Schizosaccharomyces pombe: one gene and its partner. The protein of the gene in region 1 binds, or shares a complex with, the protein of each later gene. Each region holds a gene or a part of one and is shown in the gene's direction. Other genes may lie near its edges.

The links.
Region 2: the proteins of tif224 (region 1) and tif225 are in contact, whole or in part, in a crystal structure (PDB 5B04), measured with the Schizosaccharomyces pombe proteins. Residues at the interface, in NP_594503.1 of Schizosaccharomyces pombe: Arg295 (codon at 3,434), Tyr331 (codon at 3,542), Ile332 (codon at 3,545), Gln334 (codon at 3,551), Glu335 (codon at 3,554), Glu410 (codon at 3,779), Lys412 (codon at 3,785); in NP_594285.1 of Schizosaccharomyces pombe: Lys267 (codon at 3,643), Glu268 (codon at 3,646), Tyr308 (codon at 3,766), Arg310 (codon at 3,772), His311 (codon at 3,775).

What each region holds. Positions count from the first base shown.
Region 1 is NC_003424.3:4,255,185-4,261,316, forward strand, and holds tif224 (translation initiation factor eIF2B delta subunit tif224), read left to right. Parts: upstream 1-2,515; 5' UTR 2,516-2,551; coding exon 2,552-3,955; 3' UTR 3,956-4,599; downstream 4,600-6,132. Other genes in the region: L-azetidine-2-carboxylic acid acetyltransferase Aca1, read left to right, coding at 1-305; cyclophilin family peptidyl-prolyl cis-trans isomerase Cyp8, read right to left, coding at 545-968, 1,034-1,948, 2,089-2,300; iba57 (iron-sulfur cluster biogenesis IBA57-like protein), read left to right, coding at 4,917-5,111, 5,167-5,949. UniProt on the Schizosaccharomyces pombe protein: Acts as a component of the translation initiation factor 2B (eIF2B) complex, which catalyzes the exchange of GDP for GTP on the eukaryotic initiation factor 2 (eIF2) complex gamma subunit.
Region 2 is NC_003424.3:3,667,636-3,674,185, reverse strand, and holds tif225 (translation initiation factor eIF2B epsilon subunit tif225), read left to right. Parts: upstream 1-2,679; 5' UTR 2,680-2,688; coding exon 2,689-2,746; exon of another isoform or gene 2,747-2,790; coding exon 2,791-2,852; exon of another isoform or gene 2,853-2,895; coding exon 2,896-3,020; exon of another isoform or gene 3,021-3,089; coding exon 3,090-4,881; 3' UTR 4,882-5,056; downstream 5,057-6,550. Other genes in the region: V-type ATPase inhibitor and disassembly protein in response to oxidative stress Oxr1, read left to right, coding at 1,087-1,653; stress-responsive DNA-binding transcription factor Prr1, read right to left, coding at 5,511-6,550. UniProt on the Schizosaccharomyces pombe protein: Acts as a component of the translation initiation factor 2B (eIF2B) complex, which catalyzes the exchange of GDP for GTP on the eukaryotic initiation factor 2 (eIF2) complex gamma subunit.

The sequences.
Region 1 (6,132 bases):
ATCCCGGTCGATGCTCTCATATTTGTAATGGTGGATTTTTGGTTTCACCTAGTCACCGGAGCAAAGGCATTGGGCGTAATTTGGCCAATGCCTATTTGTACTTTGCTCCTCGAATTGGTTTCAAATCAAGCGTGTTTAATCTCGTTTTCGCTACCAACATAAAGAGCATTCGACTATGGGAAAGACTAAATTTCACACGAGCCGGTATTATCAAAGATGCTGGTAGACTTAAGGGTCATGAGGGATACGTCGACGCTTACATATACCAATACCATTTCCCTTCACTTGAAGATGCCTTAAAATAAACTTCCTTTACTTTTTCACAAATTTGCAATTCTCTCCTTTCAATTTTGGATGCCACACTTTCGATAGCAGTTTGTTTTAAGAGGCAAAGGTTCAATATTTGCTGCCTGCGAAGCTTCTTACTGTACAACAAAATGTTCAATAAATGATATGATATTAAAAAACCTTATAAACTCAGAAATAATTTAACAAGTCCCGTATATTAAGTTGTTTGGTATATATTTCGTTTGACTTAGTAAGTTTACCATGCGTCAAAATTTCCAAATCCTGTGCGTGCTTTTTTCTTTTTGGGATTTACAGTAGAAGTGAATGTCTTTTCTTCAAGTGATACTTCCTTTTTTAGATATTTTCCAACAGACGCATTTAGAGAATGATCCGTAGAAGACGCCGATAAATCCCTCCCAGTCCAAGAAGTGCGGTCTAAATTATTTTCCTCTTCTTCTTCTTGTCTTTTTCGTTTCTCCTTCTCCCGCTCATCTTTTTTCCACTCTTCGAATGGGTCTACAAATATTATGATGTCTTCAAGCTTGATTGGTAACTTGGGGTGATCATTACTGTTGGTAGGGACTTTTTCAAGAGCATCCAAAACATTTAAACCACCGACAACTCGACCAAATATTGTATGTTTATTGTCCAAATGTTTCGCTGGTCCATACAATATAAAGCTATAAATCAGGTTAGCACTTGCATTTCTTTGAAGCTTTTAAAAAATAGAGAAGAAAACACTTACAATTGACTTCCATTGGTATTTTTTCCACGATTGGCCATAGATATAATTCCACGATCGTCATGCTTTAAAGGGTTACAAAACTCGTCCTTAAACGGCTTGCCCCAAATACTTTGACCACCTCTTCCAGTTCCACTAGGATCACCTCCTTGAATCATAAATCTAGCAATATTGCGATGAAAAATTGTATTACGATAATAGCCCTGCTTGGCAAGCTGGACAAAATTGTAAACAGCATGGGGTGCATAGTCTGTATGCAACTCAATATTAATTTCTCCGTGATTAGTAACAATACGCGCGTATCCTTTGTGCTTGATCCGCGTATGGTTAAGCATATAATCTTCTTCAGCAATAATTGCTCTTTCATTCTTCGTTACAGGAGTAAATGATGTGGAGGTTAAGGAAGCTGCAGCATAACCAGTTGTATGGGATGCGCGATGAATTGGCATATCAGAAGCTATAGATTTAGATGAATCGAGAGAATGCGATAACTCAGGTGATGAAGTTGACTCCGTTGACTTGGCGCGAGATGCTTGTAAAGCAATTTTGGCCTTGGTTATTTTTTCATCTCTTGCGGTTTCCTTTTGTTTTTGAATGGCCGAAAAATCTCGGTTCTCAACGTTATGAGGATCCTGGATGGTAATTATGTCGTCTCTGGTAAATTGCTCTTCGTTCACGAGATCCCTCCAATGTTTTGGTTTTATGTTCAAACGTTCAATAGTATCCCAAGAAAAACAATTCCCTGTAGAACGGATAGCCACGATGTGTGAAAAGCGCGTAAAGCTTTTCATCGTAACTGGATCACAATACTCTTCAGCACTGTTTTTTGCAAACTTGAGCTTTATTAAATCTGACATTGATGCCTTTTGTCCATTAATAGGATTAGTACCATGTTTTCGAAGCCAAGGAACAATAAATCTAACACATGTTAGCGCTCATCACCACTTTTTTATGAAGAATGAAAGATTTCCAAAAGCAACTAGATTAGTTGGTAAACAAATATCATTTAATACCAAAAAATTTGCTTCGAAACTCACATCTAATAGTGATTTACATACCTAAAATCGAAAATAATGGCTTGCTTGGTTTCATCCACAAGACAACAAGGATGGTTAAAGGGCTGCAAGGAAAGAGAGCAATAATTAAAAGGAAGTTGTTTGTAACTTGTGGTACTGTTCTTTTGGGCTATGCCACTCATACCACCATGCCACCCATGCACACCCGAATGCTCAGTTTGTGTAATGTACAGTTTGTCTGTATTTTTGCCCATTCCTGTTAATAAATATCATAAATACGTTTGTACGGTTATAAAAAATAAAAATAAAAGTTCTTAATTTTATGATATTTTAAGGCGATAAAGTAATTAATTTCTAGTAATATATATGCGAACTACAAGTATACGTTGTCGAATAGCGTTGGTGTAGTAAGGGTAAGGTCACTAAGCGCACGTTGGGTGTTATAGCTAAACTCATCTACGCTTCTACCAAAACAAACCAATTTAATAGAAATATTGATTTTCTGATGGGGTTCTCAGCAGAACAAGCAAAAAAGGATGGGAAGGATCAAAGCCCTGTTAGTGAAAGCTCTAGTGTGGGAGGAACATCTCCAGCTACAGCTTCTTCTGTCGTTTCTCCCAATGAGCCAAAACTTTCAGGGAAGGAGGCAAAAGCGTTGAAAAAGGCCAGAAAACAAGCAAGTAGAAGAGCAAAAGCCGAAGCAGCTGCCGCGAATAATCCACCCGGTGTTTCAGAAGAAAAAAAGGTAGCTATCCCTAATAAAAATAGTAACCAACAAAAGAAGGCATCGAAACAAAACCCGCAGAATAGTCCAGAAACTGATGCTAATTTGCAAGAAAAAAAGATTTTTGAGGAAAAGCAAGTTTCTATCTTTTCGCACCTCGATTGGAGACGTCGTAGAACCACTGAAAATATTCCGAAAGATATCCATCCTGCTGTTATTCGTTTGGGTTTAAAACTTGCAAATTATAAGATTTTTGGATCGAATCAGCGCTGTATTGATTTGTTGAAAACTTTTAAAATCGTCATCCAAGATTATCAAACACCCTACGGTACGACGTTGAGCAGGCATCTGACCACGCATATAAATTCTCAAATTGCTTATTTAGTATCAACTCGTCCGTTGAGTATCAGTATGGGGAACGCCATTCGCTTTTTAAAACTCGAAATTTCTGTTTTAGACATTGACCTTACCGACGACGAGGGAAAAGAATTGCTTCTGGAAAAAATTGACAGTTATATTCGCGATCGTATTATCATTGCAGGACAAGTCATCGTACAAGCAGCAACCGAAAAAATACAAGACGGAGATGTCATTTTAACGTACTTGCACTCTTCGACAGTAAACGATGTTCTCATTCATGCTAAGAATGTTGGTAAAAAATTCCGGGTTGTCGTGGTAGACTCTCGTCCAGAATTTGAAGGCCGGGTTTGTTTGAAGCTGTTGACCGAGCATGGGATTGAATGTACCTATGTCATGATTTCAGCGCTTTCCTATATCATGCAAGAAGTGACCAAAATTTTCCTTGGAGGCCATGCTATGCTTTCGAATGGTGCTCTATATTCTCGTGCCGGTACCTCTTTAATTTCCCTTTTGGGACACGAGTCTAATGTTCCAGTAATAGCGTGTTGCGAGTCTTATAAATTTACTGAGCGCATTCAATTGGATTCGTTGGTATACAATGAACTTGCACCTGGCGATCAACTTGTAAACATGGGTGTGGATGACTTTGAAGAAAAACCTGGTGTACTCGCAAATTGGAAAAGTGTTAAGAACTTAAAATTACTCAGTCTAAAATACGATGTTACTCCACCTCGTCTAATTACTGTATGTGTTTGTGAAATGGGGCTTTTACCTTCAACCTCGGTACCGGCTATCATAAACGAGTTCAAACAGGTTTATGCTTAATTTCTCTAATTTCCTTTTGTTTTTTTGTTTCGTCCACCTCAGAGGTAATTTATGAGCATATCCATGTTTGCTTCCTTGAAGTACCTTTCATTTTCCCTTTGTTATTTCTCATTCCTTTCTCAATGCTTGGAAGATTTGGTTTGTGTGAAAATAAAAAATTCATTATATTTAAATTTACAAAAGTTCATTGTTTACTCTTTTCTTAAAGGAACCTAAACTGTTCTAATTTTTCCATGTAGATTATATATTGGCATTTAAATTGTCTCAACATGATTTTTGACATATTGGTATATCCAAGGGGAGCTATTGGCATGGTTAAGAGTAATGATGTTCTTTTGTTGTATTAATGGTTAATATTTGTAGATGAAATGAAATGAGCAGGGATCGTACAATGTCATTTCATCACTTCATTTCCGGCTATAGTATGCTGATGCTTCGGATATATCGGAGAAAACTTGCAATCTCTTTTTTTTTAAGACACAAAATAGAAAGCTGTTACTCGATATTCAATTTTTTTTTTTTTAAATTATAGAACTGATGTTCGAAGCTGAAATAAAATTTTGCATCACAAGCTTTACGCTTGATGTCAGCTTATGATCTAAAACCTGTAATAATTTAAGAGCGATTCTAGTAATAAACACCAGAATTAAATATTATTTTTTTAAGAAAAGGGAAATTTTGTTCCTCATCGAAGAAAATTCATCTTCAGTATGTTTTGACCTTAGGTTTTTTTCCTACAGTGATATTACTGTATTGCAAACAAATAATAATATATATCTTTATAATATACACTAATAATTTTGCCATATCCTCCTTGGATTCCCCCGAAAAGTAACAAAAACAATGTGATGCGAAATCATCATCTCAACCACTTATCGATTTTAGAAATTCGGTTTACTGTAAAAGAGTCCTATTCTAGCCTCAGGAAACCAAGTGAATTCAAGTACTTTACCTATGGGCAATGAATAGGTTCACCGTTAGGAGCAAGTTTATAAAGTTCTCATTCCAGCTATTTAGAAATTACAGCGTTTGTCTAAATTCATCGAAATCTCTCATTCGTGTTGAAGGAGTTGATGCAGTCAAGTTTCTTCAGGGCTTAACGACCAACAAAATAACTTTAGATAATCCTGTATACACGGGCTTCTTAAATACACAGGTAAGGAGCTTGCGGTGTTGGGTTTAATGATGCGCGATGTATTCTAACTTACTAGGGGCGAGTATTATTTGATTCCTTTATATATCCAAAAGTCTCCAATAATGGCACGGAAAATGAACGATCTGATGAATTGTACGTTGAAATTGACAAGGTTGCAGAATCCGATTTTTTAAAACACCTGAAGAAATACAACCTGCGATCCCGGTGTAGTATAGCAAAGATACCATCTGAAGAATTATCTATCAAAGTAATTTGGGACGTAAAGGAAGAAAGTAGGTTAAAAGATACTGTCGCTTACGCAAAAGATCCTCGCTTTTCCAAACAGCGTTTGCTACGAATGATAGTTCCTACTTCTACATGCACTTCTTCTTCCTCCGGCTCGCTAGATGATTACAAAGTCTTTAGATACCGAAATGGAATACCAGAAGGGCCTCAAGAGATTATTCCTAGTATTTCATTTCCTCTGGAAAGCAACATGGATTGGATGAAGGGGATCGATTTCCACAAGGGCTGCTATTTGGGTCAAGAGCTCACTGTCCGCACCTACTATACTGGGGTAACAAGAAAAAGGATTTTCCCATTTATTATTCCGAACTACGAAGACAATCCATCTCAAGTTATTGAACCTTCGGCGCCGCTTTCAATTGTCGCAAAGCAAGGAGAGCCGGTCTCTCGTCGATCGCCTGGTAAAATTATTGCAATTTTAGGAAAAGTCGGGCTTGCTTTGGTCCGTCTACAATATCTCAAAAGCGACTTGGCATGTAATGGAATACCTATTCAGCTGAACACCAGTATCTGGTTAGATGAGTTATCGTCTACGCCAAGTGAAAATTCATAAATTGAAAAAGTTTGCAGATTTCTCTTCTTTTATTTATTCTTTCTATCAATTATTCATTTTTATTCTACATCTAACTCAAAGCTAATTTGCGCATTCTCCCACTCAGTGTAAATAGTAAGAACACATGTCAATTGTATGTTTATGTTGTGGTACTAGTACTATTAATCGCAATTCAATTAAGTA
Region 2 (6,550 bases), 590 kb from region 1:
TAAGCGAGGATATAAAAGACCATGGACTCATTCCTTTGAAGTTACATCCTCAAAGAAGCACCCGAGATATTTCTGATTGCAGTTATCCTTCGACGTCAGATGATCGATCGGCTTACTCCCAATACAAACTGATGAAGCTGAAGAGGAAAAAAAGAAGTCGATGTTTTGATATATCATCCTTTAAAAAGCATATTGAAATGTCGCTTGCTAAGAAAAAAGCAAGTTCGTCTACTGTTACTTTGAAGGCTACAAAAGAGCTAGAGGATTATGAATACCTAGAATATGAAAAACATAAAGAGAAGAGAAGAGAATCTTTGGACTGTTTGCTCCAGGAATTCTCTAAAGCGGCAAAGATATTGAACGAAGATAATTAGCAAACTAAGTACATTACAACTCAGGAGCATAATAACTCATTGTTTTTGTAATATTCTCATTTATAGAATAGTATGTGAAAAATACAATAATGTTCATGATAAGTTAAAGACGGCAATTAGATTACTGGCTCAACGCCAGCTTTTGCATTGGACTCATTTGTTGTAATGAGTTCTTAATATTTATACAAACATAAGTACATACTTGTTCTTAAAAGTTCTAAAAGATTTTATTTAAGATATAAATAAAAGTTCAATAGCATAGTATGATAGCAAGTAATGGAACACTATGTATTTATTCTATATTTGATTATTAATATAGAGTAAAAGTCAGGTTCATAGTGTTTCTATTGACTCGTCAACTATAATTATTTTTTGTTGTTACTGAATGATAGAATTTGAACGAATGTTTTAATTGCTAATACCAAGGCTGCTGCTCCACCTTAACAATCACACATTACGCCAAAAAAATTATTTACTCGATTTCTCAAAAAAAACAATAAAAAAGGATCAATAAGAATACCTTTATTAAGAAAAACTTCTTCTTTGGAAAATTAAAGAATACACTTACTGTTGTTTATTTCAGTGTTTGTTATTGTATTCACAATTATTTATTTGTTTACTTATTACATAAGGCTAGTGGATCACCTTAATCTTTCTAACTACACACACCATAAGAGTACAAAATTTTAGCAAGTATTTTGTATCAATTGAAATGTTTAACTTTACAAGACAGTATAGTGTTAAAGACGGCTTAATAACAGATGAATTGGCCAGTCACATCGTTGAGAACTTGCCAGCAAGATATGCTTCTGCTGAAACTTGGAAACGAATCTATTCGTTGCAACATGACGGCGCATCTCTTCAAACAATGTACTTAGCCTGCGAAAAGGAAAAAGCTCGAAGCGGCCATCCTAAAGGGGCTTGCATTTTAGCTGTGCGCGATACAGACGGCGATGTTTTTGGAGTTTTTATCCCTGATTATTTAATTCCTGCACCTCATTACTTTGGTTCCGAGGAAACCTTCTTGTGGAAATATTTTCCTCCCAAAAAGTATGTACATTACCCTTTCGTAGGAAATTCCAATTTTGTTGCATATTGCACCAAAAGCTTTTTGGCATTTGGTGGGGGTAATGGAAGATACAGCCTTTGGCTTGATGGCTCTCTAGAGTACGCTTACTCTAGTCGTACTCCTGCATTCGAAAACAATCCTTTGAGCTATCGTGGCTGTCCTGACCAACGAATCCAAATCGTGGACATCGAGCTCTGGGTATTGGAGTAATATCAACTAACGAATGAAAAGAAAAAAGAAAATAAAAGATGGACTCGGAAATGTGCATCAGCCCAAGTTTTATATTTATATCAAGATTAATATTTTACCGTGCTTTCTTTATGACTAATTTATTCAACCAAAGACAATTTTATGCTGACTCTATGCATTGATTATTATTCTTAATTCAAGTTAACTCGTTGATTTGCATGTTCAATCAATGAATATCGAGTTTACCAGAAATTCGAGCCGTAGGACTCTTCCCTCCCATTTGTGATGTATAGCTTTCTATCATCAGCTAATTTTTAATACTTCTTCTCAATTCCGGAAGATTACGTTTGTTAATTGATCAAGCATGAATATCCTTGCTATTAATTTCTTTACGCCTTATGCATTGAGTGAACGAATCAAATGAAGAGCATCCCCAATATCTTCTCCCCAATTGTCTATTATTTATTAATTTTCTCTTTTTCTATTCATAACTTTTAATGCTACACTTAGTATATTTATTCACGTGGTTGCTTTTCATCAACAATTCGTATCGTCCCTAATTGACGAATCGATTTCTACCATCCACTTTATATCAGTAATAATAATTATTATGAAGTTTTATTTATTATGTTTCTTTTTGATTACCGTGTAAACACTTGAAACCTGTATTCAAATCTCGATAAACTACCATAAGATTAGTAAAATGTTTGCAACCACTACCCAATTGTAGAAAACAAATTGACAAAATTTACCAACTTAACAGGATAAATCACCGTTTATATCTTCTGTTTATTATGTGGAATTTTTGTGGTTACTTAAATAAAACCACTTTCTTTCGCCAATAAACTATAAAAGAAATGAGCTATGCAAATTTAATATCCTAAATTTAATTACTCTTTGATTATTAACGTCTTTATAAATTCCTTTTTAGTCTCTAGTTGATGAATTGTTTAGAATAATCTTTAAGTTATAAGGCAGTGGAGCACGGCATCCTTAAATGACTGTTTGGGCTTAAATGATATTGAGAAATATGTCTAATCCCTCTACATTGTCGAAATGCCTCCATCCAAAGGGCTGAATGGCAAGCTAGAAAAGCCAAAACACGCTCTGCAAGGTAATGTTTTTGGGATTCAAAAAGTGTTTGTTACTAATTTTTAGCGATTGTTTTGTCGGATTCTTATAATTATCGGTTTCGCCCTCTTACATTAGATAAACCTCGCGTATGCAATTACCAGTGTACACTTTAAGTACTAATATTATTAGTGTCTTCTTCCTTTAGCAAATACCCCTTTAATAGAGTACACTTTTGAGTTTTTGGCATTGGCCGGGGTGCAAGAAGTTTATGTATTTTGCTGTGCCCATGCAGGACAAATTCGAGAATATATAGAGTATGTGCTAAATTGAGGTCTTAAATTCGAATTTCTGATACGATATAACTAACACAATATAACCCACAGAAAGTCAAAGTGGAATCTTCCCTCTTCCCCCTTTAGTGTAAACACGATTGTGTCAAGAGAATCTCTGTCGGTTGGTGATGCTTTAAGAGAGCTCGATTCAAAACAGCTAATTACCTCCGATTTCATACTCGTATCAGGCGATGTGGTATCCAATGTGCCTCTAAACGAAGTTTTGAAAGAACATCGGAAGCGCCGTGAAGATGATAAAAATGCTATTATGACAATGGTTGTACGAGAAGCAAGTCCATTTCATCGTACACGCGCCCGTACAGAGAGTTCTGTTTTCGTGATAGATAAAAAGACCAGCCAATGCGTGCATTATCAAGCTAACGAAAGGGGAAAACATTATGTTTCTATGGATCCCGAAATCTTTAATGAGCATGAAGAGTTGGAGGTTCGAAATGATTTGATTGACTGTCAAATTGACATTTGCTCCAATGATGTACCTGCCCTTTTTACTGAAAACTTTGATTACCAAGACATTCGAAAAGACTTCGTATATGGTGTTTTAACCTCTGATCTTTTAGGAAAAAAGATTCATTGCCATGTTGCTAAAGAAAATTATGCAGCTCGTGTTCGTAGTCTTCAAACTTATGATGCTATTAGCAAAGATGTTCTTTCTCGATGGGTCTATCCTTTTGTTCCCGATAGCAATCTTCTTAACCAAACTTTTAGTTATCAAAGACATCAGATTTATAAGGAAGAAGACGTTGTTCTTGCTCGTTCTTGCATTATTAAGGCACGAACTTTGATCGGTGCCTATACCAAAGTCGGTGATGCGTCTGTGGTTGCGAATACTATCATTGGTAGGAATTGTACCATAGGCAGCAATTGTAGTATAGACAGTGCTTTCCTTTGGGAAGATGTTGTCATTGGAGATAATTGTCGAATTGGCAAAGCCATTCTTGCCAATTCTGTAAAAATTGGAAATAATTGTTCAATTGAAGATGGTGCTATAGTAGCTGCAGGCGTTGTTATTGGGGATAATACAATAATTGAAAAAAATAAGCGTCTTACAACTTTCGAGAGTCACTCTCAAGGAACTTTGAACGATCCATCTTTGGTAGGGATTGGTGGACGTGGTCAAGAATATCATGCCGAAGAGGATTCTGATGATGAGGGAGAGTTTATGGAGGCTTCAGGGCTTATTGAAAGTACAAATGAGTTACATTTATCTGATTCAGAATCTTCAGAGACAAGTTCGTCTTCTGAAGAAGATATGGAATTTATTCCCTTTTCAGCTAGACGCGATTCTGCCAATACAATTAACTCAGAGGATTTCGATGAAGGAGATTTCAACAAGGAAGCTCAGCAGAGTCTTGAACGTGCCTTTGAAGAAAACCACCAAATTGATATTGCTGCTCTTGAACTCAATACCCTCCGAATGGCCATGAATGCCAACTATCACGAGGTGCGATCCGCAATTGTTCTTGCTCTTTTAAGGCGTATCATGCACTTAGATGTATCCCCCAAGGAGGCACTAGCAAAAGTAATGACACGTTGGGGTCCATTGCTTGCAAAACTGACATTTAGCCATGAAGAGCAAGTTGACAACGTATTAACGCTGCAGAAGTACTGTGTCCGTTTGAGTATGACTCGGCACTTTTTACAACTTTTGGGATATTTCTACCAATTAGAAATTGCTGAAGAGAATGCCATTCAAGAATGGTATTCTGATCCCCGCTCTAGCGAAGGAGAATTGGCTGCGCTTCGTGATGCCGGTGGCAAACAATTTGTCGACTGGTTGAATACTGCTGAAAGTGAAAGCGAGAGTGAAGAAGGGTCAGAATAATAGTTCCCTTACAAATCCTGAACTCTGACTTAAAACAGTGTTATGAAAGTGGTTTCTGTCTACTCAAAAAAAAAGGGTCACTCATAATTTAGCTGGCTATTATTTTCTAGCAAATAATAATACGATAGAGAAGAAAAATAAAATTTTGGTCTACAGGGCGCGTTGTTAAAATCCAGCACTATTCTGTTAATTACACGCATAGTTATTTACGATAATATCAGTTGGACGAATTCAATATTTTTAGCTGAAATGTAAGAAATACAACAAGCGAATGAAGATAATATAATTTGAGCAAACCGAAGAAAATAGTGGCTAAAATACAATGCAAAAACTGAAAAGTTATATTGATTATGTCTCTTCTGTACATGTTTCTAGTTGTAGTTGATATGAAAGACAATTCCGACACTGTTTGGAATTTGTGGAATTTAAACAACTAGTCATGGGATATGAAAAGCCTTTCTTCGAAAAGAAAGCCTTAACTTGAACCCCAAAGAGAACATAGATACATAGACCAAAGATTAAACCTTTAACTAAATCAAACAGAAGTGATAGATAGTTTTTTATATAAAACAAAAGTAAAAGAGACCTGATAGTAAAAATAAGAAATATATAACATTAAGACTTTTCCATCAATGTGGATGCTGTAAGTCTGCTTGAATGGGATCCTGTAACATCTGTTGAGGATACATAGGAGCATCATTCTCTAAGTAAAATGTCACAGGAGCCTTATCGTCTTTAGCTTCTTTCGTGGAGGGAACATCAGACATATTAATTGAGTTATCCGCTTGTAAAAGATTCAAAAGTTGCTTTTTTAAAAGTTGAAGTAGAGTCAACTTTGTAAATGGCTTAACTAATAGATCTGTTACACCATGATTAAAGTAGGTAACTGCATCATTCATCGATATATTTGAAGTTATAGCCAAAATCGGTGTGTTATGATCGTATTGACGAATTAAACAGGTTACAGACAGTCCATCCAAATTAGGAAGTATAAAGTCCATTAAGATGAGATCGAATCCACCAGCATTAGCTTTATTTACGGCACCAATTCCATCGACAGCTACATCGACCTGGCAATCAAATGAAGTTAAAAATTTGATAGTCATTCTACGAGAAAGTTCATCATCTTCGACAAGTAAAATCCTTGGTTGCCGCTTCCACAAGCCAGTAGTTGGAACAGCAGCGCCCATTTGAGACATGGACGTTGCTACTGAACTAGCTTTGGCAAGGGAATCGTTTGAAATTTGAGAAAATGACTTTGCCATGGAAGCATTGGAGTCAAGATGGGTGGTAAAGCTTCCTGGATTTGGATGCTGAATCGGTTGAAATTTTTCGTACATCGGATATGAGCCATGGGCGTGTGGATTCAAAGAATGGTCATTAGATGATAAAGGGGTATTTAGAGAGGCGGCAGAGGCCATGGAGTCTGCCGGCTTTTCCTGATTTGCCAGTTCATAATCAGATGAAGGAGTATTATACAAAGAAGGTTGTGCTGTGCCAAGATTGGTGTCAACAGTCATCTTTGAAGAAGCGGTAGTAGCAGCGGAAGCCTGTTGAATTTGATTTGGTATCTGTTGTGGAGAAGTAGTTGCAACTTGGCCCTTCGCTAACGCTTGGTATGCATTTAATAACTCCTGGAGAGGATGAGAGGGAACAAACATGGCTCCGG